Linked DNA regions of Kluyveromyces lactis. The protein of the gene in region 1 interacts with the protein of each later gene in a pairwise test. Links are inferred from orthologs where the notes say so. Each region holds a gene or a part of one and is shown on either strand. Other genes may lie near its edges.

Region 1 (5,874 bases):
CGTCCTGTTCAAGCGTTTTGTTCCATGTCTGTTGCTTTAGCTTGTCATAAAATTCCTCCTAAAATGAAGTTTTTACAACTGGACACACTAAATATTGGAAAGTACTGGTTAGAAACCTTACCGAAAGTACATTTACCTCTGCCTACACTGCCAGTCAAAATCACATGCTCACAGGATGGACGCCGTGAGGGACGCAGCTATATTTCAAGTATTGATCCCAAAGTACTCATTTCTTCATCTGGTCTGTCACTTCCAAAAATTGCAACTTTTACAGTATCAGACGGGACCAGACATCGTGTTCTTTTAAAAGGTAGCAATGATGACCTCAGACAGGATGCAATTATGGAACAGGTTTTCAAACAAGTGAACAAGATACTAAAGGCTAATAAGACAACTAGAAAGCAAAATTTAAGCGTTAGAACCTATGAGGTAATCCCCCTTGGTCCACGCGCGGGGTTGATTGAGTTTGTTGCAAATTCCATGTCTTTGCATGATATTTTATTGAATTTGCATTGTAACGATGAAATCAGTTTCGATAAAGCTAGAAAAACGATGAAAGCCGCTCAGAATCACAGTGTTGAGGAAAGAGTACTTACATTCAGTCGAATTACGGAGAAAATTAAGCCTCAGTTAAGACGCTTCTTCTTTCAATCTTTCGTGCATGCACATGATTGGTATGAAAGTAGGAACAGATATACTAAGAGCGTGGTAACATCATCGATTGTCGGATATCTGTTAGGCTTGGGAGACAGGCATCTTAATAATATTTTGATTGATATAAAAACCGGTGAACCCATTCATATTGATCTTGGAGTGGCATTTGATCAGGGAAAGCTATTGCCAATACCGGAACTGGTTCCCTTTAGACTAACAAGGGATATTGTAGACGGATTTGGCGTAGCAGGTATCGAAGGTTTGTTTAGAAATAACTGCGAAAGAGTATTTAAGGTGTTACAAGACGAGAAAGAGCGATTATTATGTGTTCTAAATGTTCTGAAATGGGACCCATTATATTCATGGAAGATGACTCCCTTGAAGAAGCAAAGATTGCAAGCAAAGTTTACTGGTGATTATGATGAGGAGGAAATTAGTGTTTCCGATGCAGATTTCAGCGAGCTTTTAGAAGAAGATAATAATAATGATGAATCCATAAGAGCACTAAAGGGAGTTGAAAGTAAGTTATATGGAGACGGTTTGAGCGTTGAAGCAATTGTTCAGGAGCTTTTGTCCAGTGCTACTGACAAACAAAATTTAGCGACAATTTACATGGGATGGTCCCCATTTTATTAAGATTGATGTGTTTGAAGTTCTTACTCGAGATGAAGACTTTATTATACTACCAGCACCTGAAGCGATTTGCAAGCAGTATAATTATAAATAATAGCATATTCATTAAATAGCATGATTCATTCGAAGCAAGTATTTGCGTGTTAATGAAGAATTCAGTAACTGTGTTGATAAAAGCACTTGAATTTTTCGCGAATAAGGTTGATAAGCCGGTTGTTATTGCAAACTGTGGAAATAATATAATATAAAAGACGATACACAAATCAAATGTTTAATGATACAAACTGATGGGAGGCAGTAATAAAATCAGTGTGATTTCCCATCCAAAAGCTTAACGTAATTACTTGGGATAATCCCTGTTTCCCCGTTTGACTTCTTGGCTTTCCACCATCTACCCTCGATATCACCAACCCTGAGAATTTCGCCCTGTTCGAAGGATATTTCATACGCGTCAGTTTGGTCCGCTTGATAGGTATATAAAGCCTCTGCAGTGTATGGGAAACTGTTTAATTCTTCACCAATGTCACTGTATAGGCCTAATGTGTCTCCCATGGTAGTATCTGTGTTGGCATTGGTGGTATCTGTGATGAAAGTGCCAGTGGCCTGTGTATTCAGTGTAGCAGTATTTTGCGCATTAACATCAAGGTTTGGTTTCGAAGAGGAATGATCTGTATTTTCAAATCCGTTCAGCACTGTAGACGACACATACTTTGTAGACGATTGAAGTTCTGGCGCATACATGTTGCCACTGTGGCCCTCACCTTCGTCATCGTGGTGGACATCAGGCAGAGATGCTGAACGCAAGTCTTCCTGGTATTGGTATGGGTAAGAAGGTTTGACCGGCAGTCTCTGCGATCTGGCAATAGCCATGGATGTCTCTAGCACCGAAGGACGAATTCCGCGTAGTGAGAACGAATCGATCCATCTATTGGTTGGAGATGCATTATCTCCACCAAAATAAATCACCCACACCAAATTGATCATGGATAACAAGATAAATCCTGCTGCTGCTGCACCACTCTTGGACCCTTCATAGTACACAATACTGTTAGTACTATTCGAAGTATATACGAATGCGATACCAACAGCACAAGTAATGAACATTCTATAGTAGTCAACTAAATCCAAACAGTACACGATAAAAAGCGTAATCATTAGTAGTATCTCGTAAACTATAGTCCACCAAGAAAATCTTGGGAATGGAGACGTAGATGCTGCAACAGCAATGGATCCCGCCAATGCAATGATCCATGAGATCAATGCAATACTAAGTGTGCCTATGGCAAAAGGATCGCCCAAAAATGACGAGATGTTAAATTGATGAGATACATGCGGATTCTCCCTTACAGCACGGGCTTGACTTGCTTTAATCAACGCCATCTCTCTGTTTGCAGATATTCCCTTGCCTCGCTGGACTATTGGAACACTTGTGACAACACAACAACTAAAATTGAAATAAACTTGCTTCAAGTTCAAGTATGTTCGTATTGATTACTTTTTATATTTATGTATATACGGTATACATTTATCATTTTTTTTGGTGTCTGTCTACAATGAGAGATGAGTTATTTTTTGATCATGTGACAGGCAGCAACCAAAGGCTCGCTAGGAATACGCGGGCCGCTTATTTAGAGTGTCAATCGGGAGTACAATTGGTAGCAGTATCAATGGTTAGTCTCTAGTACCCTGTTTATCCTGTACCCTCAATGTGTCGCATGTAGAAATATGGTAGCACTTAGTGAAGTTATCATGACGATGAATCCCCAAATAGCAAGTAACAATGAGATAATTCTCAAGATTCGTTCTTTTGCTGGTGGTACAACGGATTTGGCGTACTCCGATGCGATTAACTTGTAGCCAAATATTCCAGGTAAGATGAAGGATATAGAAGTGGATCCGGTTGCTCCTACTATTGACAAAACGTTTGCTAGCGACGTAACACTCATAGCGAGGATGTACGAAAATAATAGGATTCCAGACGTGATAAAGATGAATCTAGGGCCTTCTAACGTTACTACTGGAGGCTGATTAGCGCTGTTTTCTTCAATTAATTCGTCTTCGCATTCGTAGGTTAACTGTTCGCTAGATTCGAGTTCAGAGTCCCGTAATAGACTGTTTTGTTCTGCACTTGTGGTTGTCATTGGGGGATGGGTGTTCCCCTTGGAGAAGTAATGTAAGATATGATTGACAGATGCTCTAGCTGGATGACATTGTAGCGGGAAGGCAAGGATCACTAACAATGCTATAGCTATTCTACCGATGGTGCTGGAAATGGAGTTTGGGTATAAGGTGATAATGTTACCAGTAATATGATCACCGAAGGTGCAATAACCTAGCGCTCCAATGGAAATGTACAAAGACATTGCTAGCGTAATGGCAATCCTAATCAATTTCGTTATACTGTCTAAAGATTTGTCTGATTGTTCATTGATGATGGAAAACATGTTGTGATGGCAAGTATACGCGAAAACGAAAATTGGAAAACTGCTTAGCATGGATGAATCCACATCACTGGGTTTCCAGATGCTAACATGGCCTCTTAAATGGTCGATTTCGCTATTTGGAACGGCAAAATGGAAGACAACTAATACGCATAAGTACCCAACTGCTGTAATTGCAATGGAAGAAGTGTACCTTAAAGAGTCTAACTTCTTAATGAAACACAACGGTGTCACGATGATCAACGTAACTGCAGTGATGTGAAACTGGCGTGATAAGAGCCACCCATGGGTTGTAAACGTGGACATTATCTGTGGTAACAAATCTCCAACGACCACCAAATATGAAACTCCGACCCCAAAACATTTAACAGCAATTGCAGCATCGAAAACGACGCTCAATTCAGGACGAGTTAATCTGCAAAGAGTGAAAAACGAGGCATGTCCAGGAGGAACGTATTTCGACACGTATGATTGTAAATATAACCCCGTAGAGGAACACAAGCCGCAGAATATAATCATTGACAAACCCAAAATCAATCCAAAGGGTTTAAAAGCATAAGGCATTGCAAGGATACCAGCCCCGCATGCCGTATGAAGAAGTGTGATGACCCCAGATTGTACACTGGATGACATCCTGTACTACGTTATAGTTAATTTTAAGGTGCTATCTCGTCAGTAGGAGAAACTACCTGTACTTCCTTATTTTGTGTTGCATAAAGATATATGGTCCTAAGAATCAAGCAAGAATCATTGATTTTTCAAATATTATGGCATGCAGACGATAGAAAGAAGGACGCAAGATAATGTACAAAAGATAAGAAATACAGTTTAAGCTTCACCGCAGTAACCCAGTCACTGATGTTATTTGGAAAAAATGTCTGTTGTTTGAAATATTTTTGTTTTCTGTCTTTTGTTAAACTATATACATGTTGGAGAGAGATGATTTCGTTTCGACATGATTTATGTATCTACATAAGAAGCCATATAAAGCCATTTAGTAACCCTTCCTCTTGGCGTCCTTGACCACCTCTATTAAGTTCTTGAAACTCTTCATGAACTCCTTTCTGTGCTTTTGAGACTTTCTCAATTCTCTTGCCTTACCAGGCTTCAAATAGAACCTTTGAGCCCTCTTGTCCTTTTGAATGGAGTTCGATCTTACGATGGACCCTAGCCTTTGGAAAGCAGCCATGGTGTTACCGCTAAAGACATCAATAGTTCTTCCAGCTTGGATTCCTGTTAGCTTGGAACTCAAAGTATCTTCTCTTGGCGACTGCATCATTGCCGAAAAGGACATGTCTTTCCTAGATCCGTTTGACGATTCCTTTGCACTTTTAGATAGCGGAGTCAACCTTGTATAATCTATGATTTCTTGTCTCCTAATAGTGCATTGTGTAAATTGTCTGGACAATAAAGTAGATGTCCTGCTGGCACCCAATTGGAACCCTCTTGCAGTTAGCATGGTTTGATTTGCTTTCCTATCCTTTCAAAATGTTAAGTCCCGTAGCCCGATAAGATCGCGTTAGACCTCACCTAAATTTTAAAATATCCACCACAAGCAGTTAGTTCTAGTAAACTTTCCCGTTATAAGTGTCGGTTCAAAGAGTGCAGAGAATGGCTTCTTTTGAAGTTTGGAATCCTGCTCAGATGTTGGTTTTTCTTATCTTATTTCATTTCGTCAAATTTCATGTTGAAAAATTTAAAGCTTTGGAAGATTGAAATTCTTGAGAGAATATAAAGGTAACAAAGCAATGGTACGTATACTCTGGTCATAAAGAGATGAGGTGACCGATGTTATACAGACAAGTTCTGCAAAGACCCATATTGCAGAAATCAATTCTAGTTGTTTAAAAAATGGTGGCTGATACAGATGTCAAAGAGATTGTTGTAGATGCACTTCCTGAGGTTTCTGAACCTGCAGCTGTTGATGACAGTGAAGTGACAGAGGATGCTACCGTGCAGGATAAGAAGAAAAAGAAGAAGAAGAAGAAGAAGAAGGGTAATAATATGAAGAACATTGCTTTAATATACCCTGATGAGAAATACCCTGAGGGACAGTGGATGGAATACCATCAAGATTTCAATCTGAAAAGAGTTACCGATGAAGAGAGGAGATACTTGGAAAGAAGTGAAGAGTACGAACAAAGGT
Region 2 (7,305 bases), on another chromosome or scaffold:
TATACAATGAAAAATGTATATAAGTCAAACTGTGGGGTCAAGGGGGTAAGGATGGATAAGGCATTTTCAAAAAATATATACCATTCTAAGAAGACAGGCGTGTTTACCGTTTGAAAATAAACGGCCTTGTTTTCCAAGATGCACCCTGATAGAATGCGGAATAAGACTCGTTCATAAATGTATGGATAGTAAATCGTTAGATGAGAAAGGTTTGTTACATGTAGGACATTTTCTCATCCTAGCAGCTAATCTTTCTTTGCAGCAAACATCGCAAAACACATGACCGCAAGTCTTGAGGGCAGTATTCTTCCAATTTTTGGAACATAATGAACAGTAGATTATAGTACGGAAATTCTCTAACTCTTCGGCTAGAGCACCATTGTCACCACCATTAGAGAGTAATGTCTTGTATAATTTCTTTGACTTGGCTTCAGCACTGGAAACCTTGATCTTCAGCTGCTTGTTTTCGATATCTTTGTCCTTGATTTTAGATTCGAGCTCAGTCTTAGTTCCGATTAGATTTCTGGTTTCTGATTCAAGACGTTCTGTTGATTTTTTCAATTTATTATTCTCAGATGTCAATTCCACTATCTTCATTGAAGTTTCTTTGTTAGATTCTTTGACCCTCTTCTCATTCTCTTGGGATAGGCTCAACTGCATGTGAACGTTTACGATCTTCTGTTGTAACGTCTTTTCAAGGTCCTTCAATTGAACGATGAGCTCGTTTGATTTGTTCAAATTTTTAGAAAGATTTTTGTTTTCTATCATTATAGCATCTTTGGATCTCATTGCAGCAAAATATTTTTCGCTGGCCTTTGTCTTTTCAACTGTCAATTTACTTAAAACAGATTCTTGGTTCAGGTATGCAGCATACTTTTTGTTTGAAAGATGTGACACCTCTCTGAAGGCCTTTTCGAGATCCTGTAATTCTTTCATTAATGCATCTTGGGACGCATTTTCTGAACTTCTGGATTCAAACTTTTGTAGTTGTTCTTGTTGGATATTCAATGACTTTTCTAAATCCTCTAACATCTCAGATTTGGTCTTTTGTGCCTCCAAAAGAGAAACTTTGGCCAATAATTCATCACGAATTGTTCTGATCCTAACTAAATCTTTCTCTAGAGAAGCATTGTGCTTTTTAAGGGTCTCCTGTGCTAAATTAAACTCTGAGGTAAGTTTATTGTTGAATATTTCTCTATCCGCGGATAGTTGTTGAAACTTGGTTAAGTAGCCTTCATTAATCTGTTGTAACTGTTCATTCTGTTTAGTTAAGGAACTGATTTTTTCATTAGTAACTGAAGCATCTGGTTGATGTTGCGAATTAGATTGAAGTTGGTTGTTAGAAAGCGCTGATTTATTAGATGCTACTGTTTGTCGTAGTTCCGAAAGTTCTCTTTCATTTTGATTTTTCCATTCCGTTAATTCCTTTACCGTAGCCTCCAAGACGGAGATTTGAGTATTCAAGTCATTTATTTCAATTTCGTGGTGAGCCTGAGATACTGCACTTTCTTTATTAGATTGGGATTTGTCTGAGTTATCATTTGACTCGTCATTCACAGAGCTTGCGCCAGTCGAAGATTGCTTCTCTTTCTTTACATTGCTATCATCATCAGCAGTGTTAAACACACGAGAAACACTTTCACTGTCCTGTCTATCATACTGAGCAATTATATTCTCATAATATTCGGTAGCCTTCTTCAGCTTATTTTCAGAGGATTTCAACAGCTTCTGTAAAGTCAAAGTGAGCGATTCTAGCTCCTGTAGTCTACCGATGTTATCAGAGATGTTAGATCCACTGGTCTTCAGTATTAGTTCGCATATCCTAGCACTGTTATTGCTGATTATCTGTGTAAGGGTATGCTCATCCTCAGTATTGATGAGTTGTTGTAAAAAGCGTTTGTCCTGCTCATCGCTGCAGTCCTCAACCACAGATCTAGCCAATACGACTATAGATGAACAGCATCCAGAAACCGACTCGGTGGTCTTCGAAAGCCCAGCCGCTAAAACCTCATTCTCTTCTACAAGCTGGTTAGCTTTGACTCTCCACTTATTCAAACATCTGAACAATGCCTCTTTTTGGAACGCTATTACATCCTTCTGCGTTAACGGCTCAGAAGGATCGGAAAGCTCTAGCTTTGGCCGCTTAACAAAATGGTCATTCATATATGCGGATTTATGTATAGGTCTCAGAAAACTTAGAGCTTGTATGACAATGTGAGCAAGTACAGTAAACCTTTCGTGAATTTCGTAAGCTCAGAATATCACACTGATAATCAGTCTCAAATTATATATCTCTAGATGTGAAAGACTGAAAAAAACCCTCCCACACTAAGTATTTTGCAAACTATAATGTCAGTAATACGTCTTGCCGAGTAGTACCCTTACAAGGCGTTCGAGATACCTCTTCAAGACCGACATTAGTGATGCTATCTTGTCAACTTTTAAAGTAAAACCTTTTTAACTTTTTTTCTTTGAAATATTTTTGGCGAATTTATCGAAAACCAAGGTCACGTGAAGGTAGCAGCAAGTAATCCATGTTCGCAGGGTGGAAAAAGGAAGTGCCAGGCAGCACTTTTTGATAAATTCATTACATGGTAAACTCTTGGGCTGTGTGCGTTCTAATGTGATGGGAAATGGCGTTGAATTTGATGTTATTACATGTGTTACTAATAGATTCTTGTTGTTTTTAGTATACAAAGATTTTTCATTCCGTTTCAATATAAGAATTTCTAAGATCTGAGATCCTTTAAGTTCACATAAAATATATAAAGTTTGTTTCTATATTCATTCAGTATTTTGTGTAGAGACAAGAGAATAGCAGTGGGACCAAATCCAATTGTATTATTGTGAGAAGCCCTAGTGATTGTATCAACACCTGGTGTAAAACGTTCGCTTTGATTATTTCACATTTCATAAGGGATTGCCAAAAGCTCTGACGTCTGTGTTTTGAAATCTTTCTGTCTCTGGGAACAAAAGTAGATTCTCCAGTTCTGACCCAAATTTAGATCTCAGAAAACATTTTATTCGTTCGATAGTTGCCTTACGTGCTTGGGGAAAGGTTTCGTACATGCGGTTAGAGTTATAAAATCCTCTTTTGAACGACCTTTCAGCCAGTAACCTAAGAAAGTTACCAATTAATTGAGATAGAACACTTTGAGAACCAACAGTAAAAGAAATCAAGAACAGACAGATTTAACATGGATACTGGCAGGCAAGATATGCATCTTTTGAATTCTTTGAATAAATTCATTAACCTCACAGCCTCTTCGGGTTCTATTGGTCACGGACCTGACCATGGGTTGTCTGTGTCACAATTGAAAGTGGTGACGAATTTCCTCCGATTGAATTTATTATCGCTATTACGTAAACTGGAACCACTTATTGAAGTATCCTCAGAAGAAGAACTACGTAACAGGCCTAAACAAGATGTACTGACTCAGTGGTGGTTAACTTTACTCAATTTCTTAAACTCAGATCTTATATCAGAAACCACTAATACGCCTCTTACAATAGATGCAATCTCAGTTTCACTCGAATGTATCAGCAGAATTATTACACTTACTGCACTAACCACTACCTCCACTGACAAAGACCGTGAAATTTATTCGTACCACTTACTTTTAACTGTACGATGGGTGACCAACAGGTTGGTTTTAAACTCTAGAAAAAGGGCGGACCTTTTAGAGGTAAGAAATACAGCTGCTCAAATGGCAAACACCAATACTGAGTCTACCATTCTACAGTTTCTAAAACGTTATACTGCACTATTAACACCGTTAATAGGTAAAATCATTGCATTTGCATTATGCTATTTGAATGATGAACTACACTATGACTTCGAAGTTGTGAAGTTCATTTCCAGAGGAAGATTTGACATAAAAAATATAGAAGGAGTGAGTTTACTACCTTGCAGAAGTAAGCAATTTGCTATTCTTGATGAAGGTGTACCTCAATCTAAGTATACACAGGACATCATAGAAGAGTTTGGTAATACTGAATATGGTGATGTTATGACACAAGAAACAAAAAAAGCTTTCCCCATCATGATCTCATACCTACAGAATCCTCAGGTTCTTACCACCTTCTTGTTTCATTATTGGTACATTATACTTAATATACATCATGAGTCAGGGCTAAAAAAATTGGAACCAGAGAATTTCCCCGGTTGTCCTATAATTTCTCATATTTGCTCAAATTCTTTGAAGGCAGACTTAGAAAGGCTTTCAAGGTTCATCAAGATCCAAGACAAACAAGACAAGCATGAGGCTGCACTTCTGAAAAATGCAACAACTTCGAATCCCAACCAAATTAATGTTGGTCGAGAGAAGATCATCAATTTTATCTTCACCAAGTTTCAAGTTGTCAGAATCATAGAATGCATCAGATCCTTAATAGGGTTCTTTCATAACACTTCTATGGATAAAAGTTTATTAATAAGCTTCTTTTCATACCAAGAAAAGCAGTTTTTAAACGCGTCTTCCGTTATATCAGCTTATGATTCATGGATGGCTAATATTATATTCAATATAATATTTCAGTTTTATACATTCCATTTTGACACACTCCCCAAATTTATCGAAGTTATGTCATGGAATGATTGGACTGATGGTATTTTTGGAACCTTGAAAACTTTCAATGTTGATTCTCAATTAGTCGGTTTGTTGTGTCTCTTCAATGTGTGGAGTGTCATCCCTGTCACTCATCGTAAACGGGTGGTTACTACTATTATCGACGAGTTATGGAATCTACTGTCTGTTGATACTGACTTCCACATCATAAGCATTCTTTTTCATAAATTACTCGTGTTCAAAATACTCCCGGATAAAGATCTTTCAACGGATCAGATTCATGCCATCAAACATAAATTCTATGCCATAAATAAAGAGGTTTGGCAAATTATTAACGTTTTGAACTGTGACTACACTGAATTAGTTGATGAGAAAACGGTATTATTTTTCCATACCAATAATAGGTTAATACTAGAGCGTCAAGAACCATTGTATGAAGAAGACCTCCTACTCGTAAGCCAGTGTATGCATGCAGAAGCAAATAACAAAAATGTCAACAACACCGCATTGTTCAATAATATGTCACGGATGACCAATATCCGGCCGGGTGTTGTTATTCATAGAGGGAAATATCCCTTTGACGTGTCTGATGAGCTAGTAAGCAGAGCAGCTATAATGATCGCTCAAAAAAACAAAAATAAAAGAGAGAATGGATCAATAAGAAACGATAGCTCTTCCAGCACATCAAGTCTCCACAGCAATGACACTGCAGAAAGTGAAAACTTGAAGCAGGAAAGTGGACCCAAATTTGGCTTTGGGGCTCTGTTGTCTAGTTTTTCGAAAAGTAAACCAGAACTACCTCCAAAGCCATCATCGGCAAGCAAAAGGAGGGATAGTGTAGCTTCAGGTAGCACAACAGATACCTTTGATACTCAAGAGATGATATCTATGTATAGCACCGTATCATCTGTTGCATCGACCTCATCAAGATCAGAATCTTCGGAGGACCTTTTGTACAAACTGTCACAGCAATCCCGATCTCATATCATAAACAATTCAGACACCGAAACTACTAAGAAACGGAAGCTTATGGCCCCACCTGAGTCAAAATTTAGCAAAGATATCGTACAGAAGCAACCCATCAGATATGTGTTCAAAACTGTAACGGTGAACTCTCAGGCCATACAAAGGAAGAACTTACTGGATAAAATCCAAGATTTCAATAAGAAGTGGGGAGTTAAAAGCACCAAACCCTATGATAAACCTTTACCGAATCCATTCGGCATCGCAAATGACACACTGCTAGATGGATTTGATTTTGACTCTCTAGCACCTACCATTGAGGAACTTCAGCAGTTGAATCTTGTTGAGGACTCTGTGACCAAGGTTTACGACAACGAAATCTCGAAGGAGAAAGAAAATACGATCCCACAAATAGAACTCAATCAGCTTTTCGAAGGTGACACATTCACGGGATCGTCTGATATCATGGATGAAAAAATAATCAACCAGCAAGACTATAACCCTGTTACGGCTGTTGAAAGGATGAAATTGATCACTAGACTGACCAAGTTGATAAAAGTAATATACACTTTCAATCTTACTATGAAGGAATTTGTCGAGTTTGAGAAGGTTAACGGAAACAACCTTATTTACATGGAGTTAGACCCTGGTTTTTACCAAAACCATTCTTTGAACAAGGGCCTACTAGCAATATCAAATTATAAGTAGAAACTTTTGTATATATGTGTTTCGTACTTTCCTAATTTTACTTTTTTAATGCATCAAGTCATTTGAACAATCAAAGTCAATAGAAACTCTATTATCATTAAAAATTCGCATTTTTCCAAATACAACAATTCAACAGAGTATGACTGTTTAACATCAGGATGAGATGTGAGTTAGAATAAAACTACTTGAGTGTCTGTTTTATGCCATTACAATATAGCTGAAGACACCAGTAAAAGATAATAGGAAGCAACTAGAAATCAAACTAGCAAATAATAAAGTGCCCAATAGATGACAAGTTCTTCTCCAGCTTAGTAAAAACTTTCGGAATCCGGTATATTTCACTGAAAATTGGACATTGATGTAACTTAAAAGGTAGTCCTCAGTATAGTCCTTTAAATCTATCCTGATCCTCTTGTTATCAGGATTTACAGGAAATCCAAACTTAAAGTCATTGATGACATCTTTCTTGACAGTTTTTGACACTGAATCGAACCCATTGAATCTTGAAGAGAGAAAATTCAAGTTATCAAAACATACAAGAGGTAACTTTCTGGGATTGTCATCTATTGATAAAGTCACGGCCTCAATTGGTCGGTGAGAAGTACAATAAATCCCCAAATTTAAGGTAACATCTAAAGGTATGTCTGATCGTATTTCATTCTCTTTAGTTGATGTAACATTGGCAATGACCCGCAAATCAAATGGAACTGTCCAAGAATTAGCCATGTTGCTCAAAGGTATAACATGCATTCTGTTGTTTGGAATCAACCTATTGATAAAATCTATCCATAAAAGATTCGATAATGGTAAAATGAAGATAATCTCAATGCATATAAGTATAAGCAAATAAGAAAACCATCTTGCTGCCTGAAGTGGAATGGATACGTTTATCTTCATTAATTTATAGCTTGCTATCGGGGAGTGACGCTTTTCAACTTCTTTGTTTTGCAACGGCAGCTGTTCACTTCATGCTTACATATATTCTTTACCTTAAAATACTAGCGAAAGCTTTAAATATAATCTTGATTTTTCCAACGCTCCAGAATCCTATTTAGTATACAAAACG
Region 3 (6,227 bases), on another chromosome or scaffold:
ACCGTTACATTTGGAAACCGTTTAGAGTAGGATTCTAAGTACGAAAAGTACCATATAGGCAAGAAACATTGAATTGGTTCGTTTGTTTTGCCTATTAATACGTTCAACCACTCTATAACGTGAGGTGATGATTTGGCATCTTCAGGAAACGGCAGAATGGCTTGAAGATCTTGCAGTAGCTCGACCATTCTAGAGAGGAGTTGAAGGTTGCAAACACGACGTATGCACGTTCACTAGATAGTTCGAGATACAGGAGACATCTAGTTAGACCCTTTTCTACCATTGAATCATTGATGATACTAGGAGTCATTTTAGGTAAAATAGAAGAAACAATAATCTGATCATGTGACCCATTGATTGGCTTTGTCTTTGTTTCCACCCTCCATCTTGTTATGACATCCGGATGATGATAAGCACCGGTTCGATACACAAAAAGATTTCCTTACACTGTTAGAAAGGCTTCATCTATACCTGAATAATTTATTACTCATATTTGAATCTCGCTATTTACGTAAGTAGATACGATTAATAAAGTTGACATTTCTCTTTCTGGTTCAAGCTTCCTTGAAACTTCTCGGTATTAATTTAATAATGTAAGCGTTTCTGTTAATTTCACCACTTTTCTTCACTTTAGTAAGCGCTATTGTCAGTTTTTACTAAGATGAATAATGCCTAAAAAAAAAAAAATCAAAAAAAAAAAAACCGCTCGAAACGACAGACAACACGAACACTGTGTCTTAATGTTTCTGAGGAAAGTCAGGTCGGTGGTTAGAAGTACCCCAAGGTGCAAGACAATCTGGGATTACGGGGTTGGATAAGCCATTGTAATAGACTGATCTATAGTTACTCCTAGTGTAAATAATTGATGTGACACTGACATATATATATGAGGATGGAAACAATTATCAAGTCTGTCTTGTTTCACGCTAACTTTATTCAAGTGTAGTGTATGGTCTTTTAATATATTGATTCTACGGAGGTCAATCCAATCAACCTAAAACTGTATCTAATGTCTGCTGCTGCCACTAAACAATTCTTGAAAGCTATTGCTGCTCGTCGTACTATCTATGCGTTGAAGCCTGAATTGCCATCTGGTGTATCTATCAATGATGTTCAGGAAGTGGTCCAGGCCATTGTCAAGGACACCCCAACTTCTTTCAACTGCCAAGGTAACAGAGCAATTATTCTGACTGGTGAAACCCACAAGAGTGTATGGGATTCTGTTGTGAATGCCATTGAAGGTGATAACGGTAAGAAAAGACCTGCTTCTGCCAGAGATGAAGCCTTCGGTTCTATTATCTTTTTGACCGATGACAAGACTACTGAAAAGTTGCAAGCTGACTTCCCAGCATGGTCTGCTATCTTCCCATCTTTCGCCGAACATTCCAGTGGTGCTGCTCAAATCTCCACATGGACTGCCATCGAATTGTTGGGTCTGGGTGGTCACTTGCAACATTACAACGGTTACGTTAAGGCTGCTTTGCCAGAAGGTGCTATTCCACAAGAATGGACTGTTCAAGCTCAATTGGTCTTTGGACTACCAGCTGCTGAAGCCGGTGAAAAGACGTACATCGATAACCCTGTCAAAATCTTGAACTAGGTATCTGGCATGTCAATCTCTAACGAATAAGCTGATATAAATTAAAGGAAAAACGTCATATGTGTAGACACATACTATATAATGAAGGAAAATTAAAGATTAACTACAAGTTATTTGAAACTGCCGGAAAATTAGACCTAGAGATTGTTCCGCCAAGAGCCAATCAAACAAATACTATCGTTTACTATTACTTGTGATAGCGATACATTTACATACTCTCTTGAAGACATAACCCGGGCACAATACCACGGTTTTCATTCAAATAAGTGGGTCCATCTAGTGAACTATGGTTTTGGATATTACTTCTTTCCACTAAACACCATCCGTCTGTGTGTCTTGCAAGTACTCGTACAAGTTCACCTCCTCGTATATCTATTTCATCCATCAACACAGCCTGATAGTCCTTGACAACACGGTATAATTTTGCCTGCTCTTGAGCAGTTGATTTTCTCGCAGATCGTAAGTCATGATGGTCACTTCTTGCACTGACATTATCCGAAACATGTTGATCATCGTTGGCCGACGTGAAGTGGGGATTAGGCGGCTTGGGTAGTGGTTTTGTTTTCGATAGTTTATCCAATTTGAGCAGCGTTGGATATGTTGGTTTTAAGTTGGTATCTATTATTTGCGGTTTGATTACGCCTTGTTCCGTTCGTATCTTAGATTCATTGATTGGTATTTCACTTTCCTCTTTAAGTTCTAATGACGGCAGTGATTCAATAGCTTCATATGGAGATCGAGGAACACTAGGAAGCATCGGTGACATTTCAGTGTACGGCTCCTCCCCATTTATAGTGATCTTACTCTTATTTGCTCTTGCAAGTATATTAAGTTGTTTCAAATGAATAGTAGGGGTCTTTGCTGTTTGAATTTTGTCTTGGATTAGAGTAGATTTGGTTAAAAACCATCTTGAAAGTGGCGATTCATAGTTCCATTTCTTGAAGGGTGATGCTAATGGTCTGGGAAACTGTCCTAAATCCATTGTCGAATTTGAGTACGCATTCGTGTCGCTTTTTTGGTTAACATTTTTTCTGTATGGATTGTCCGTAAATGCCAATTTTTCCGGTGTTTGAATGAGTTCAGGATGAGAAATATAAGGTTTGCTAACTTTGTATGTGATCTTAGAGCTTACGCCGCTATCATACTTTTCATCCTGTTTCTTTTCGTTGAAAAGTTCTGCTTTTTTTAAATCATTAAGTTCTTGCATCCCATATAGCTTCCCTAACACCGAATCTGGCTCATGCTGTTGCATATTTTCATTATCAGGATCAACTTTTGAGTGGAATCTTCGATAGTACAAGAACCCGAACACAATTCCCAATCCAACGACAAACAAGGCAATTGGTAATCCTATGGCAAGACCTAAAATGGTACCACTAGTATTTTTTCCATCCGATGTACTGGCTAGACTGTTCAAGGAGATTCCTGATGTCATTCTCGCTGATTGACTACTCTGAACTCCCAATGAGCTACTGCTATGGGATGTAGAACTAGTAGAGGTGGATTCTTGAGAAGTTTCAATCGTAGTGGTGACTTGATTTGTAATAGTTGCAGTTTTAACATTTTTGTTCAGTTGAGTTGCAAACGCTGTCGAGACGGTAGTTAATGCATATGGTAAAGTATTTGATGCTCGATAGTATTGATCAACATAAATTGTATTAATGACAGTAGCTTCATTATGTAGAATAAGTTCGTTCATTTGCGTCTGGATCACCGTTCGTGTTTCTGTTTCTATTTCCATCTTAGTTATTCTTCTATTTTTTCCTCTGGTTTCATGGACGCCGAAAAGTTACGCGTCTGCAATGGTGCTTAAGCACCAAATCCAAGCGTGTAAAGTCAACCAACGAAGAGTCAGAAAATAGCAGAAAAAAAGTGGCTATTACATTCAGTATTTATGTCACTGAATTATCAAAGTTAATTCAATACGTTCATGTTTCATAATCCCAAGGGAGCCGGAACGTTAAAAGTGTATCAATTACCTGCGTTAAAACATACTGTAACCCTTGTTTATGATACCCAATACCTCAATATCGCAAGCAGCTGTGGTTTCATGTGCCCTTGGATTCTATTTTTTCTTTTTCAAGTGTTTCAGAGTACTAACTATTTGGTCCCTGAAATTGTCTTATATCTGAATCTGCAGGTTGTTGACTTTCTGTACTTTTGACGTGAGGCTGATCCAATACAAATCTGAAACACGTCTAACAAACATCGCCTTTCTGGGGGAAGTATGTGATATCCGGGTAACATCTTATATTTGTTCTGGCATGCACTCAGGATTAATTTTCACGTGCTCATTGCATAATAGTAGCAGAAGAAGCAGCTGGCTTCGAACAAAGTTTTATTCATCGAGTACATTTACGAAGGGAAGTGTTAGTGCAAGATATCCATTTCTTTGACATGTGTTTCTAGAAAAGAGTTTTTCGCTTAAAATAGGTTTTTGAATGTCAAACGTGTGATTATTTGTATTTGGCAAACATGATCTGCAGTTTGGCATAGGCTATGAAGGAACAGCAAGGCTGAGAAAGTTACTTTCGCATCTCATTGCTTTTCTTAAAATTCTTCGCGGATTTTGACAGCTTTAAAGATTTCATCGTTTGATCTATCGAACATTTCATGACATGACAGGAAAATGGTCGCTGAGGTAAATTCAACAACTGACCACTAGCTATATTTTCTCAATATTTGTAGTTCCTGCAGTTAAGTTCGATCGAAGTTGATACTAGTGACACTTCTTTCTTCAAAAAGGCTGAAATGTTTATAGTGCCAATTCAACTGAGGTAGATACTAGGTGAAATAGACATTCCTGTGCCAAGCCACAACATCTTCTATGCTGATCAACGACTCATATTTCAAAGTAGTAGATCGCTGATTTATCCGTATTCGTCACCGTAAAAGCGTGATAAACATTTTTCCGGCCAGACAAAAACTGCCTCTTAGTCTTAGCGCTAAAAAAAAAGCTGCTTTCTTAACACCCTTAACATGACCGCCTGACATAGAATTACCAACATTCCGTTGTCGCGTATAGGAAGCATATGCCGAAGCTTCTAAAACCACTCATTAGAAACGAAATATGAGAACACTCCGAGTATACGGGAAAACCAACAATGCATCAGCTGTTTTTTGACCCATTCGTAACCATTTTTGTTTCTCTAATTGCTTTCAATACAACCATTGATATGCCAAGAAGCCCTCAAAACTTAGATATTCTCTTATTCCCGACCGAATTGTTATTTTGAGACTACATGAATGAGGCTAATATCTTATGCTCATAGTAAACTTAACCAACTACCCTTAAGTTGGCCTTACCTTGTAGTTGAGAAGGAGCATCTGGAGAAATAACATGAAAAAAAAACCCTTCTTAACGGGAAAATCTGGTTGGAATCATGAGATCTATGTAGTATAGAATCAGCTGTTTTCGCCAGTCCCTGCCTAGCCCATGAGATATCGTAAGAAATTGATGCGTACCAAGATGGTAACGGGTCCGCACTGGAAAAGTCTCAGTGGAGTTAAAGCTGCTGAGTGATAACAGCACAACGCTCCCGGATCTAACCTGTAAATTCTATATCATGCCAAAGTTTTTTCGAAAAGATTGGGTGTACGGATTATCAGTTAAAGGGAAACGCACAAAATTATTTTCACGTTTTGAGGTACAATCTGAAAAGACCGTTATGCATGTCAGGGGTAAATTCAACGTACGGGAAATATGCAGTAAAGAAAAAGGCACCAGATGCACGAAGGTACCATTTTGCTTCGTGAAATAACGCAAACAGTCGTACGCTTCTGCAGAACTGTTCGTAAGGTATTTTGAGGCATATGGCTTGGGTTGATAACAGATATTGAATAATCGAATAGAAGCAGCTAAAGCTGACCAGTTCTCAGAAGGTTCAAAGTGGGAAGGGAGAAAATGAGAAACAAATGTACTAACGAATTCTCTTCGAACACATAAGATGTCGTAGGAGTATCCTAATATGGGAATTAGTCTGGGAGCAAAACAAAGGCTGGTCATACCTCTGCTATCAGCAATACTATTACAGCGTAAACGTTAGTGACTAAAATCACAGACTGGCTTAACTGCTAATGTCTGCTTCGTAACCTTATACTTTGTTTAGTTTTTTGCAACTCATCTCTATAACAGGTGCCTATGCTATATGCATGTAGTACCTTTCTTGATGAAGAAGCTGTGCGATATTAGATTTCCTTTTTTGCATTCATGCTGAAAATTACTAGCTAGGTACTTTACTTAGCCTCAGCATTGTCAAACTGTGAGAGCAATGCGGCAATTTACGTGCCTTTCTTGGAAACCAGTTATGATCGCCATAAACCCTCGGTCTATTCCCGTTTTACTTGCTTATTTGCCTGTGCCACCAAATCGTTTAACATAAAAGACCAAAACGGACTCTCTCCAAAGAAATCCACAAATCAAAATATTTTCGTTTCCCTTTCCAGGCACGACATACCTGTGTAATACCTTTGTTTTTTTTTAGCTTTTTTTTTTTTTGCCTAAAAACCTGGCATCACATATCTAATCTTAATTCTCACCTTATTTGAAGTTCAGCAATTTTCTAGTATTCCCGATAATTATGGTACCTTACTGACAAAACTCGTACCTACAAATGTCTTGCTATGC
Region 4 (6,130 bases), on another chromosome or scaffold:
AGTTTGTTGCAAATGCAATTTATTCGGTTATGAAGCACTTCCCATTCGAAAGAAGATACTTCATGTACCATGAATTAAGTACAAAGATTGCTGAAGACAACATACATGTCAGGTTACAATTTAATAAGTACCAAAAGCGGATAAGGTCACTTTTAAAATCTTTGAGTATTGACAACATTGCATTTAAGTGCAGGGATGTTGCTAACTTCGTGTCCTGCAATCCTCTTTCAACTCTAGACTCTATCCTAAAACAAATAGAAAATTATGATAAAGTCTCTGAACTAATCGTCATAAGTGCCGAATTTTTCTCAGAATTCGCTTACGATGTTTTACAGTATACGTTATTAATTAAGCTCACATCGGAAAGGCCAACTTTACAAGATGATGGTATTACTCCCAAAATGTGGATTAGCAGATTATCTTTGTTCATTGCGGGTCTTGCTAAAGGCTGTTCTAAAATGAGTATGTCCAACATATTCGTGTTTTTGGTCAAAAATCTTTACAAGGATCCATCGCTTACCCTGGCTATTTTGAAGGAGTTAATCTCCCAAGTTGCAGGAATACAAACGTTGTATGATGTAAATTGGAACACTTTGCTAATGATAAGCTCAGGATCCTTTTTAAAACAAATCGGTAGAAATCTTATCTTGGATTTCAGAGATAAGTATTATCAACCTTCAAAAACTATTGTCAATTACTTGTTAGAGCTTAATGCAGTGTCAGAAATGATTATCATGCTCACAAATTTGAATCTTAAGATTCAAACCGATAATAACGTTCATTATAAAATCTTATCAGCGAAATGCGATGAATCCAATGCATTACTTTGGTCATTTATTGAAATGTTAAAGCACATTTTGACTGAAGAACAATTCAAAGCCAATATTCTACCTTTCAACGTTTTAATTGAGAAATATCAATTTCCTGTTGAGTGGGCGTTTGATATCTGGAGGCATTATTTCGATACAAAGCTGGCGAGATCTGAAAATGATGCTGATGAAATCAACGAAATTCTATATGAGACTGATTTCAAAGGCATCAATTTTGAAAATATTGATAAACGTCTATTCATTGATTTCTGGCGGTTATCCTTATATGATATTAGATTAGAAGAAGATTTGTACACGAAGCAGAAAATCATTTACGAAGACAAGAGAAAGGCTGCTAAAGTTTTGAAAGAGAGGCATAGTTTATTAAGCACAATACAGACAGTCAAATTTGATCTATCTCAGCATGCAAGCGTTTTTGAAAAGACAAAGAACATGATTAAAATGAACAAGGAGACATGGTTCCCCGAATTCTCCCGTGAGCGTATTACCTCATTTTTGCAACACTGCGTTGTTCCTAGACTCATTTTTTCACCATTTGATGCCATATTTTGCGCAACTTTCATTACTGAAACATTTAATATCGAAGAAGTAATTGATATCTTAGGGCAATTCACATCCTCAAACATTTTAGGAACCTTACTATTTTCTTCTACGGTAAATGAATCGAGCAACATCGCTACGTTTTTGAAGGACATTATTACCAAAATCGAAAATTGGAGACATACTACATTATTGGATGATGACAAAATTAAACCTGTAATATATGACCTCTACTATCAATTAACAGAACAATTATCATTTACCTTAGAGGATTCCAATTACATGTCCATTAGAAACACAATCCAGTTTTTAAATGCTATAAGCGAAATCTTCCCTGTCGTTGATGAACATTTGGAATTGGTTTTAGACACTTTGGATCATTTAATTGAACACGAGCAAAGGGAGGATATCATTTTGCCATCAAACGCTTTGAAAGGACACTTAAAGGCTAGACTTAAGAACGCCTCTAAGACATCGGATTTCCGTGAAGTTTCAGCGGAAGAACAGCAACAACTGCAAGACGAGATGAATCTCATCAAAAGGTACCAAGATATGAAGGAAGCTGCAAAAGCAGAGCAAAGTAGAAAGGAAGAAGCAGAATTGAAAGAAAAGGAAAGGGAAAAGGCAAAACAACAGGATGCTGAGAACGGTGCTGCAACATCTTCACTTACCGCACCATCCATGTCGTCCATATCCAACAATTCTCCATCTCCATCGCAAGTCATGGATGGCTTTTATAAGATCGAGAAGTACATTAAGGATGCTGAGTACACCAGAGCCATTCCCTTGATATACGATTCTAACACTCAGAGTGATTTTAGAAAATTGATAAAAGCTCCAGGCAACATCTCTGGATTTAGAAACAAATTGAAGATATTGTTCGAGGACTATTACCACCGAGTCACTAGTAATCCACCTGATCACTACAGATCTGTCTTTGAAAATTTTATTCAAAGATGCAAATCTGCTCCTTTGCCTCAAACCAAGACACCTGGAAGTATGTATGAAGATGAAGTAGTACCTGTTAAACCTTCATCGAAGTACAGTGGTGAAAGATGGAACTCCAACACTTCCAGTAACCGTCCAATACCTAGTGAACCAAGAAAGGCAGCTTCTTCTCGTTATCAACATGGTATAGCCTCAACAACTCTGCCAAGAGCACCAGCCAACGCGTCTAAGCCTCCGGATACTTCCTCAAGACCATCTGGTCCTGCAAGCTCAGGTTCATCTAGCAGATTCCAAAACACATTACCATCTGGCCCAAGAAAAGATTCGTCTAGCAACAGAAGTATCAGCAATTCAAACACATCACAGCTTCCTAGCAGACCATTCAATCAAGGGAAGAAATTCGTTAATACTCCCTCCGAACCACGAAAGAGGCAATCTGATGAATCTTACCAAAGTTCAAGCAGATTCTCAAACGTTAAAAAGCCTAAGTTGAACGATCGTTCTACAAATAACCAATCGCCATTACCATCTGGTCCAAAAAGACAATCTGGAGGATCGAGATATTCGAGGTGAATAAAAATACTTAACTCGACACTTAGTTAAATAGCATAGCATAATATATGCTACCAATTATCTTCGATTTTGTACGGTCTTTCCCTGAGACTCTGATGCTTCTTACCACGTAAAACTGTCAATATGAAAAATGTTGAAAAACATAGACCTATGTAAATATAAGATTGAATCAAGCTAAACTACATATTTACAGTTTGAATAGAGCTTCTTTATGGGTCAATAAGCACTGTTAACACCTTTCAATCGATATAGGCATTAAGTGTAATGAGCAATAACGTGATAACCGGAGCAAATGGTCGATTAGATGTTTATGTGAGTAAAGCGAAGGACCTTCCAAATCTAAGAAAGTTAGACAAGCAAGATCCTTTCGTCAAGTTAAGAGTAGCTCATCTTACGGAGATATCTCCAGTGATATACAGAGGCGGCCAAACTCCAAAATTTGATTACCATTGTGTTTTTCAACTAACGCCCGATATCAAGCCTCTACTCTGCGTTGAACTGTACGATGACCATGATCACAAACATGGTTCGAAGCTCATTGGGAAGTGCGATGTTGATCTTTTGCCTGCATTACTAAGTGACCCTGAAGAAGGCCATGATAGGTGGTATCATCTGAAGAGGGGTCCTTTGGAAGCTGGTAAGGTGTATATTGAATTGACTTTTGTTCCAAATAACATTAGCGAAGACAGACGCGACAATGTTCCAAAAATAAGTTCCAGTGTACAGTCCAGGTCAGTACCACCACTACCGTCAGATCCACCGGAGTTACATGCACAATATGAACTGCAGACATCGGCAAGTGAGCAGCGGTTCGTTGCTTCCGCATCCCCAGGCCAATACGTTCACGGCTCTCATATAAAATCTCCACTTCCTGATCTACCTATAAACCTCGATACTTCTAGATCATCACACGCTTCAAGTGAAAGAATAGATTTTGATTCATCGATGGGGTCTAATGCTACAGCAAATACCTATCATTCGCAACAAAGCCAATCTACTGATGGGCTGATGGACAAGTTAAAGCTGATCAAAGAAAAATTGAATTATTTCAAGAACGGCTCCTCGGTACCATCTACAGAGAGTATCACCAACACTGCGATGGATTTGGAAGTCTTACAGAAAGTGGTAGGTGGCGGTCTCGAGAGTAGCTCAAGCTCAAGAATACCAACGAACATTGACGAGCCATCGCCTATGAATCACCTTCCTACAAAATCGTTTGTTGAACCGCCATTACCACCTCTTCCGACTACGCCTTCAAGACTATCCAGCCAATCTTCAGTGAGACATTCAGCCGGACAAAAATATCCGTTAAAATCTCCTGTGAGACAACCTACTACTCCAAGGCTACCGAACTTGCCAAATTCTTTTTCTTCGCCTTCTTCAAGATCAGGCTCGGTTTCTCCAACAAGGAGGAGACCACCACCATTATAAATGACTTATTAGAACTACATAATCATTGATAGGATAGACAGTTAAAAGTTTTTCTATCACTACTCATATTAGATGTTCCTCTTATCTTCTCGAAGCCTTGGAATCTAAAATGGTTTCAATCGTTGCACCTTGAATTCTGTCAATGCTAAGCCTTTTTGCATGATTATTCAACCAAAGGGTCCTAAGATGAGAAAAGAATATATAAAGAAAGAACTTTAAAGTAATCGCACAAGAATACTCGAAAGAAGACTCTGCTGTATTATGTTTGATACTATTCGAATTAGGAACCTCACTGCAGTGGATTAATGATACGACAAGATGGTAAATTGATAATTCTGCCCAGTAAAATAACTGTCGGAAAACAGCTTGAAGTTGGAACATACTTCATGTTAAAACTGGGTCAAAATGCAATACGATTCAATTCCATTAGGGGAAACTTAGAACTTAATGTTAGAGCTGCAGACTGGGATACTAATATGGAGTTCATTATATTTAGGCGAAGGCCACGATTGAAGAATGATCTTCTTGGTTGTCGACGGAGGGACGTCCTAGACCAGGATTTTATTAATATCAACAAATTGAGACCTAAAGCACTAAGAGAATATTATGTCGTTTGGAAGTCTGTTGAATTGAATTCACTTGCAAAAGATGTCCAATTCATAGTAGACATCGAATTTTTCCCATCAAGTGGCCCTATTATACCTTTGAAAAGCCCACAAAGTCCAAGCGAGAAGAGCTCTCCAGTAATTAAGACCAAACTGCCCAAGCAACTACCTCAGAGTCCCGAAAGTAAACCCGCTACAACACCCAGGGACCAAGAATCTAGTCCTAAATTTTTTCCCCGATTAAGAAGACATTCTAGGCATCAACGACGTAATGATCTAAACATAGACTCAGATGACATAGTGTACGACAATGTCATTATATATGATGGTAAGGAGAAAGCTGTAGTTGCAGGAAATTACACTCATGGATTGAAAAGCTACGAAGCTGAGTCTTCTGATACAAGCGGTGTATATTCATTCATCGAGCAAAATAAAGAGAAGATTCGAAACTATGACTACGATACCTTAGTTATCAAAGAAACTCCAAAAGATCTACTGAACAATGAATACGCTCGCTTGCAATTGGGTGATAAGCTTATGTTTATTCATAGTTTCCCAAGTGCTAATGTAAAACTAACTGGATATTTGGGAAATGGAAGATGGTCAGTTCCAGAAACAAACGAAACGAGACGACAACTTTATGTACTTCAGCAACCAACTCTTCCTCCTCCCAGGGTACCCCCCAAATGTCCGAAAGGTATGCTATGGGAAGAGTATTATTTACTCAATAAAGAGAAATACATTCGTGAAGTTATGAGAAATTGAAGGCTTTTCAGCTGATGCCATGTTATTAATGTGTTATGATACAAAATATTAAAGGAAAACTCAATATATAATGGAAGTAAATTAAATGTTAACAGACAGTGTCTATAATAAATGCTATTTTATGCGAATAAAGATCTAATGCTTTATTTATGTTTTATTGGTCCTTCGATAAAGGCTGATTTTCCTCTCAGTGTGACTTAGAATTCTGCTTCATCAGGATACTCATCATCACCTCCCAGGTCATCATCCCCATCATCGAAGTACTTTTCAGCATTGTAGTCATCATCGTCGTCCTCTTCAAATTCGTCGTCTTCATCGATATCATCTTTATCGGCTTCCTTCTCCTCATTTCCTTCTTCGTTTTCCTCATCATCATCGACCATACCGCTCATCTTTTCCAAAAGAGCACGACCTACCGCTTCATCTTCTTCCTTAGAC

Evidence for each region.
Region 2: the proteins of SHO1 (region 1) and AHK1 interact in a two-hybrid assay, tested with the Saccharomyces cerevisiae proteins (2 studies listed by BioGRID). The link is inferred for Kluyveromyces lactis from reciprocal best matches to the Saccharomyces cerevisiae genes SHO1 and AHK1.
Region 3: the proteins of SHO1 (region 1) and FUS1 interact in binary tests that used the Saccharomyces cerevisiae proteins (3 or more experiments, as listed by UniProt). The link is inferred for Kluyveromyces lactis from reciprocal best matches to the Saccharomyces cerevisiae genes SHO1 and FUS1.
Region 4: the proteins of SHO1 (region 1) and INN1 interact in binary tests that used the Saccharomyces cerevisiae proteins (3 or more experiments, as listed by UniProt). The link is inferred for Kluyveromyces lactis from reciprocal best matches to the Saccharomyces cerevisiae genes SHO1 and INN1.

Annotation. Positions count from the first base shown.
Region 1 is NC_006041.1:626,570-632,443, reverse strand, and holds SHO1 (osmosensor SHO1), read right to left. Parts: upstream 2,668-5,874; coding exon 1,594-2,667; downstream 1-1,593. Other genes in the region: DNA-binding protein kinase TEL1, read left to right, coding at 1-1,290; AVT5 (amino acid transporter), read right to left, coding at 2,991-4,361; MRP21 (mitochondrial 37S ribosomal protein bS21m), read right to left, coding at 4,723-5,187; MAP2 (methionine aminopeptidase), read left to right, coding at 5,580-5,874. UniProt on the Saccharomyces cerevisiae protein: Plasma membrane osmosensor that activates the high osmolarity glycerol (HOG) MAPK signaling pathway in response to high osmolarity.
Region 2 is NC_006038.1:267,627-274,931, forward strand, and holds AHK1 (Ahk1p), read left to right. Parts: upstream 1-3,197; coding exon 3,198-6,239; downstream 6,240-7,305. Other genes in the region: E3 ubiquitin-protein ligase BRE1, read right to left, coding at 172-2,163; SEI1 (seipin), read right to left, coding at 6,438-7,136.
Region 3 is NC_006039.1:116,064-122,290, reverse strand, and holds FUS1 (Fus1p), read right to left. Parts: upstream 3,342-6,227; coding exon 1,809-3,341; downstream 1-1,808. Other genes in the region: KLLA0_C01584g (uncharacterized protein), read right to left, coding at 1-188; KLLA0_C01562g (nitroreductase family protein), read left to right, coding at 1,010-1,600; KLLA0_C01518g (uncharacterized protein), read right to left, coding at 5,160-5,606. UniProt on the Saccharomyces cerevisiae protein: Required for cell fusion. Negatively regulates Sho1p signaling to ensure efficient cell fusion. Interacts with SHO1.
Region 4 is NC_006037.1:995,649-1,001,778, reverse strand, and holds INN1 (Inn1p), read left to right. Parts: upstream 1-3,155; coding exon 3,156-4,322; downstream 4,323-6,130. Other genes in the region: THO2 (Tho2p), read left to right, coding at 1-2,891; KLLA0_A11550g (uncharacterized protein), read left to right, coding at 4,628-5,692; RPC31 (DNA-directed RNA polymerase III subunit C31), read right to left, coding at 5,890-6,130. UniProt on the Saccharomyces cerevisiae protein: Required for the ingression of the plasma membrane into the bud neck at the end of cytokinesis, leading to the separation of the mother and daughter cells. Stimulates the synthesis of the primary septum (PS) by CHS2.